Daphnia pulex: one gene and its partner. The protein of the gene in region 1 binds, or shares a complex with, the protein of each later gene. Links are inferred from orthologs where the notes say so. Each region holds a gene or a part of one and is shown on either strand. Other genes may lie near its edges.

Region 1 (3,652 bases):
CACTCTTGATAAAGTCATCGCCAATGCCGTCCGTCAACTCGGTCATCTGGTCACTGATCAAACGTGCCTGCAGTGCACCGAAATATTTCTCGAGGAACATGGGCTGAAGGGTTCTTCGAAAGGCATGTTGACCGAAGATGGATGCAATGACGAAGGAAAACAATCTGCGTCTGAAATGTCTTACCAGCGAAGAATGGAACAGTTACTAGCTGACGAAAACCTCTTCAGAATTGTTTTATGGCATAAGAACGAAGAGACAACTATCGCAATTGAAATGCTGGACACGGATACACACTCCAGCTGTTCAGGAGACAATCCTCCTTTGCAAGATGTGCGTAACTGGTCAAATTACGTCGAGGGCTATGTTTCAGATCGAATGGATCAAGTTATGTCGGAGAAAACCAGACGAAAAAACACGGATCCGTCGTTGATCGCAGCCCATTCCCGCGTTAGAAAACCAGTCTTCCTGCAAAGAAATCTGAAGCAATGGGAACGACGTCGTCGGAAAGATGGCACCGCTAAGGCATCGCGTTCCAAGACTTCCGGTAAGATATTTAGATATTATCTTGAGCATGTCGTGAGTGTTGCAAACCTTTAATTAAGCCAATTGTTCGCATTAATTTTGGTTGTCAATGAATGAATAATTATTTTGCATTCTTTGTATTTTGTTTTTAGATGTTCCCATGGATGTGGACGACACCACACAGAAGGACGTTACAGTAAGCGAGGATGCCCATTGTGTTTTTAACGTCAATTCGTATCAAATGGTTTTTGTGGCCAATAGCGAGAGCGTCCTGTACAAGAGACATGCATTCACTCGAGCCAAACAGGTTTGTAACCATAAAAACGTGTTTCAATTAACCAAAACAGCTACTTACAGTAGCTACACAAAGTTTCCGCACAGCTGAGAGAAGCTAATGGGAAAACGGGTTTTTTGAAAATTCGCCAAAAATCAAGTTTTCGTCGGACGAAAACGATTTTTGGACAGGGGGTTCTTAGAGTTAAGGTGTATAACATATATTTTTTGGGGATTTTTTCGTTCACGGGAACGTCCCTTTTAAATTGGAGGTAAAAGTTTCCGCACAGTCGAGAGGGCCAGTAGTAAATCGTACTACTTTGGCTCTCTTGTACTGGACGGAAAATAGGGCTAGGAGAGTTCTTTAGGGCTTAAAAAAAAGAGCATCGTTAGCTCTATAACCTCATCTGAAATGTTGACCCCCATGCAATTTGAAAAATCATTTTAATTTTGAATTGAAAATGACAATTTTCCACTTCTAGAAAAATTTCACCCTTTTCCCCCCGCGCGTAGTTGCCAGTTTTAAAAAATGTCTACTTTTGTAATCGTAGGGGGAGAAAGAAAAAGATAGCTACGACGGCAGCTTCCTCCGCTAGAGGCACTGGGGTTAAGAGGCTGGGGTAGAAAAAAATGCGAAAATTTGAAAAGCTTCCTAGCCCGCTAATTTAAATATTTTTCTACGTTTTCTTTTCCGAAAATGAAAAAGTATGATTATTTCTCATTACAAAGTATTCGTTCTAGTCGTCAACACTTTCGAAATGACTCGCGGAAAACGAAAGGATCTTTCTGTCGAAGAAAGATCTCAAATTATATCTTATCATAAATTAAAGTTCTCAGTCAGGCAAATTAGTTCTTTAACCAGCGTGAAACCATCAACAGTGCAAGACACTATAAAACGATTTAAGACTACTAATAGCTGTGAAAGTTTGCCTAGAAGTGGACGCCCGGCACTGTTAAGCCAGGCTGATAAACGCTATCTGAAGTTATGCGCTCTTCGTGATCGTCGGAAACCTTTAAAAGTGATTACCGAGGAGTTTAATATGGGTAGAAAATTTCCTGCTTCTCATTCGATTGTAAATAAAACTTTACATTCCTGGCATCTTTTCGGAAGAGTTTCTGCTCGTAAACCGCTGCTAAGTATGAAAAATATTAAAAAACGACTTGTGTTTGCAAAGAAACATGTCAAATGGTCAAAGACACAGTGGAGAAAAGTGTTGTTTACGGATGAATCGAAATTTGAACTTTTTGGGACCAAAAGAAGAATGTACGTGCGTAGAAGACCCGGTGAAAAATTCAATAAAGAGTGCTTAACACCCACCGTGAAATTTGGAGGGGGCAGCATAATGGTGTGGGCTGGAATATCAACCCAAGGTGTAACGAGAATGAAACGTATCGTGGGAATCATGGACAAAAAGATGTATCATAGCATATTGGTACACACTGCCGTTCCGGAGGGAAAACGCTTGATCGGAAGAGGATTCGTATTTCAAGAGGATAACGATCCTAAACACGCGTCCAAATACTGCCGAAATTATTTGGAGACAAAAGAAAAAGCTGGTTAGTCTTAATTTTGTGGTTCTACGTTTCCCCTTCACTAACTATTTGTTACAAACTATTTCATGTAAGGGGATCTTGTGCGGATGGTTTGGCCTCCGCAAAGTCCCGATCTCAACCCCATCGAGGCTATGTGGGACTACGTTGACAGTAAATTAGATAAGACTCAACGTTCGTCACAAGATTGCATTTGGAGGAACATTGAAAAAACCTGGAAGGCTATTCCTCGAAAAATTCTCAGAAAATATATTTTCTCCATGAAAAAAAGATGTCGAGCAGTGCTAATGGCTAAAGGAGGTCACACCCGCTATTAACATACGAATGTAGTGTTATAAGTTATTTGGGTAATAAAAGTACTTGGAAAATGCCTTTTTTTCACCTGTATAAAGTTTATTGTTCAGAGTAGAAGTAGCCTACAGAGTTAAACTATTACCCACTCACCATCAGTTTCAACAATTGAATTTAATTGTTGAGGGAGAGACTGAATGATGTTGACAATGAAGCCTTCTGCTACGAGAATTTCCCACATTTCACGAATTGCATTCCATAGATCGTCACAGTTGAATACAAATCTTTTAGCCTGCTGCAGTCTCTTCAAAATCTCTCGCCACACTTTCTCCAAAGGCATAAGGTCCCCAGATTTCTTTGGCCATTCCTTCATGACATTAATGTTGTTGGCAGCAATAAAGTCACGGACAGACTTTGCAGTGTGGACCGGAAAATAATCATGAATATAGAGTTTACTACCAGCAAGGTGTGGCAACAAATGACATCGCAACAACTTCAAATACTGGGCTGTATCTAATCTGCCATGTAGTTTTTCCAATGCTTGTACTCCATCGGCACTTGCACAGCCCCATACAGCAACTGTGTTGGGGACATTTAGTCCATGGGAACCACCATGAAAAGTTATTTGCCCACTGCTATCGAATCTACGAAAATAAATTATAACACGAATAAGTCATTTGTGAAATTGTACACTACTAAATAAACCTACGCATATCGTTGCTCGTCACCGAAACAAGCGTTGGTCCAAAATTCTCCAACAGACTGGTCTAGGTGTTTCAAAGCAAACTTCTTTCTTTCTATCTTGTTGTCGGGCTCGAGAATGGGGATGAAAGAAGCCATATTGCTAAAAGAGCAATCTCTTCAAAAAGTTAGAATTCGAATTGCCGTCAAGTCACAAACTGACAATTCACAACAAAAAGTCGTAACAAACGTCTGCTACACAGGCCTAGAATTTCAACCTTTCAGTGCCTCTAGCGGAGGAAGCTGCCGTCGTAGCTATCTTTTTCTTTCTCC
Region 2 (3,521 bases), on another chromosome or scaffold:
AAAGACATGGAAAATTAGTTATTGGGAATTAAAATTTCACCATTTTTAAATTACTTTGTGCCCACATGTTAAGCAACAGAGTTGACTAGCCAAGTTGCCTCTAAATGGTGAAGATGAAATTGAATGGCATACAGTAGTAGTATCCTGCTCATCAATTGATATGCCTTTGACAATTTTGCTTTTCTTGTTGATCTCTTCATCAATGGTGGTAAACAACATATTAAAAAATTCATGTGCATCCTGTTCTTCTGACTTGAGGTTCCAGCCATGCTTCTCTAATGACTGAATTAATTGCCTTGTGTTGAATAAATCAGCAGTAATTGTTGGATGCTGATTGTTTATGACTATTAATTCAAAAGATGATTATTAACAGGTGTGTGAAGATTGGGGAGAGAACAAAACTCACCAGCCATTGTCAAATTTAGGCTAGAAGTAGTTTCCAGGCAGTTTCCTGTAGCATCTGATGATGGTTTTGCCAAAATTGAATCAATCCACCAAATGAAGATGGGGCAGGACGCTAATGCCTGTAATGTGGTGTTGATGAAGCAAGTATTTCCCTCATTCACTAGGCCAGCTAATTTGTTTCGTGACTTGTTCTTCGGCTTCTTCACATTTTGAAAGTTGTCTGGCTCACCAATAGCCACATAATATGCCGCTGATGCAACAACTGCAATTGTAGCAGCCCCAGTTAACCAGTATTGTCTTACAAATGACTTTAACATTTCAGGAGTGAAACATTTTTTTAGATCATTGTATGTACACCAAACTACACCATACCATTTACAGCTCTTAATTATACAAACACTCAAAATGGGAAACAAACTTAGAAGTTAGAAAACAATTTAATCCTACGATTCAGAATTTTAGAGCATTTGTTATGAAAACGAAATATCGATTAGTTTTGCAATCGATATTTTCTCAAATCGATTCGTTCGCTACTAGCAGAAGCAGCTGTTTAGAAAGCATAGTGTCGGTTGGACTGGGGGGAAATTCGTTCGTTTTTGTTGTAAAAGAAAAAGGTATTTTGGGGAAATTGTGACAAGTTAGTGTTAGTGATTGTATGTTCATTTCATAGGAGATTTACAGCTGGTCTGCTGGTTGGGAAAAATCAATATAGGACACGTTTTGTTCAGTTTTAAGTGTGAGAAAGACTGTTATGGGAGAAATGGCATACGTGGGGTCTCCATCACGGGGATCGTCCAGTTTCCCCTACAGTCGCACAGCTCCAAGCCTTGTCGAAGAAATCAGTGCTGCACAGTTCTCTAATGTTAGAGGTATTGAAGAAGATCTAGCTCTCATCAGGCAAGGTGAGAGAGCGCAACTACAGCCTAGTGATGAAGGTGAGTGTAAAACACATTTCCAAGTATATGCTTTGCTTGCATTGTTCTAAACCACTTTTGTGAGTTTAGATACTGAAGATGCCAGTGAAACAGACCAACAGAAAAAGGAAGATGAGTACACGGAAATGAGAGAACAGTAAGTTTGAAATATCTCTTGTCCAAAGAGAGAGATTGGTTTTAAAATAACTCATCCTGTTTGTAGGATTTACCGTGACAAGTTGGCCTATTTGAAACAACAGTTAGAACAACTTGAACAAGGCCTTCATCCTGATTATCTGAGAAAATTAAAGAAGCTGGAAACAGTCTACAAAGACAGGTAATTGATTGCTTGAAGCATTTCATGTGTGACTCATAATGCATTATTCAAATCTGTAATTTAGACTGCTGCTAAATGAAGTGTGGAAGGACTATGAAATGGTAAGAGCAGAAGAGGAATATATCAGCGAAAAACAGTCGGCTTCCCGAGAACTGGAAGATAAAAAAATCGAGCTTCAAGAAAATCTTATTTCCGAGCTGGAAGAGAAGAAGCGTCACGTAGAAACGGAACGAATTACCATTGAGCTCACAGGAGACTCCATGGAAGTGAGTAATTTGGCTGACATTTCTTTTCTTTTCCATTCTTTATCCTTTCACTTTTCGTTCCAACAGATCAAAGCGCCAACAACAAGAAAACTACGTCGTCGTCCTAACGATCCTGTCAACGTCAACTCCTCCTCAGGCACTTCTGACAAAAGAAGGAAGTTAGCTCCTGCTCAATTGGCTTATCTTCTTGATGAGAATGATGTTGTGGATGATTTAAGAGCTATTGAACGTGGTGCATCTGGAGCCGCACCAACCAAGACCTCGGCAGGTGGAAATGGACCCTCGACAGTTCGAGGAACTAACAATGGCATTTCAAATAGACGGAGCAATTACAGTTCCCCAGCTAGACAATCTGACCAGTCACCATCAAGGTAATTTGATTGAATAGTTCAGAAAGAAAACAGTGAGTAAAAATTCATGTCTAATAGATCCCCAGTGCACGGCCAATCTTACGGCTACTCTGGTTGGAACAGCGGAGAGAATCAAGCAACATTCGAGGCTCGAGTTGAAGATGGAAAGCTTTTTTACGAGAAAAGATGGTAAGTTTTCCCTTTGTACTGTTATTCTCACCCTCTTGTTAATCCGCCTATGTTTTAACAGGTACCATCGAGGGCAAACGGTTCAAGTTGAAGGCAAAAAGGCCCGTTTTGCAGGTGTAATTTCCGCAATCGGAACCGAAGCGGTAATGCCAGTTTTTAAATTAGTATTTCGATTAAATGGAGACTCAATTTTAAATTTTCCCTGTTGTAGGTTTGGGTGCGTCGTCCAGCAGATGGAGGCAAAGTGAAAATTTCCATCTGGCAGCTTTGCCGAGGAAAATATACCCTCGGCCGCAAAGCTCCGTAAACTAATTAACAACGGCATCATCTACTCATTTATTTTGCGTGTATGTGTGTGTACGAAATTGTTAATTGTGACTTTAATTCCCGATTACAAAGGACAGCGTTTTGTTCCGCGCCTACGGTATCTATTTAGACCGAGGAAAGCAATATCAGACACTCGTATTTTCATAATTTATTATCACTCACTCGTCCTACACCATTTATTAAGACTAGGGAGTTTTGTGGTCCCTTTGATGTGTGTGTTAAACGGAATTATAATTCTATAGTACATGCATTTATTTTTATAAGTAGGCGTCTGTTAGTCCTGTAGGCAGTTGTGTTTTAGGCGGAATGAAGGAGAATGGAAGGCACGTTTTTCGGGTTATAAAACGGGCTCGGACCTGTCATTTAAGTGAAACATTAGAAAATCGATCGATTCTTAGAGAAAAGAATAAAATACCGATGGAGGCCGTCGTATCGAGATGACTCCGACGCTGTAAAAATAGTTAAGGCGTGAAAGTTGTAAAGAGATTAGACTCGGCGACTGGGTCGGTTTGGCACAATTGTTGTTCTCTGCCCAATTAAGGCTGACTACTTTCAACGTAGTATTTGAATCACACCAATTTTCATCAATTTGAGCGACAGGAGGAGGACAAGAAATCTGAGCACGTAGCTGCTTGATTGCTCTGCGCGCTCTGACACGGGCGAGCCATCGACGGACGGTTCGTTGAACGACGCGAACGGAATTACTTATCTGTCCGACTTTCAATAGAAGCTG

The links.
Region 2: the proteins of paired amphipathic helix protein Sin3b-like (region 1) and sin3 histone deacetylase corepressor complex component SDS3-like are in contact, whole or in part, in an NMR structure (PDB 2N2H), measured with the Mus musculus proteins. The link is inferred for Daphnia pulex from reciprocal best matches to the Homo sapiens genes SIN3A and SUDS3. Residues at the interface, in NP_001103821.1 of Mus musculus: Glu616, Glu619, Leu620, Val623, Arg672, Ile673, Tyr674, Ala675, Lys677, Asp680, Ile681, Ile691, Ala692, Ile695, Val696, Arg699, Met702, Lys703, Glu706, Trp707, Glu709, Ala710, Phe714; in NP_848737.3 of Mus musculus: Ala205, Leu207, Asn208, Tyr209, Leu210, Leu211, Gln215, Ile216, Glu218, Asp219, Leu220, Thr222, Leu223, Leu226.

Annotation. Positions count from the first base shown.
Region 1 is NC_060024.1:9,524,580-9,528,231, reverse strand, and holds part of paired amphipathic helix protein Sin3b-like, read left to right. Parts: coding exon 1-545; intron 546-675; coding exon 676-830; coding exon of another isoform or gene 831-875; intron 876-3,652. UniProt on the Homo sapiens protein: Acts as a transcriptional repressor. Corepressor for REST. Interacts with MXI1 to repress MYC responsive genes and antagonize MYC oncogenic activities. Also interacts with MXD1-MAX heterodimers to repress transcription by tethering SIN3A to DNA.
Region 2 is NC_060026.1:2,507,342-2,510,862, forward strand, and holds sin3 histone deacetylase corepressor complex component SDS3-like, read left to right. Parts: upstream 1-942; 5' UTR 943-1,156; coding exon 1,157-1,340; intron 1,341-1,409; coding exon 1,410-1,476; intron 1,477-1,542; coding exon 1,543-1,656; intron 1,657-1,720; coding exon 1,721-1,922; intron 1,923-1,988; coding exon 1,989-2,293; intron 2,294-2,350; coding exon 2,351-2,461; intron 2,462-2,522; coding exon 2,523-2,604; intron 2,605-2,672; coding exon 2,673-2,768; 3' UTR 2,769-2,916; downstream 2,917-3,521. Other genes in the region: ubiquitin carboxyl-terminal hydrolase 30-like, read right to left, coding at 55-344, 407-722; unconventional myosin-XIX-like, read right to left, coding at 3,046-3,144, 3,204-3,521.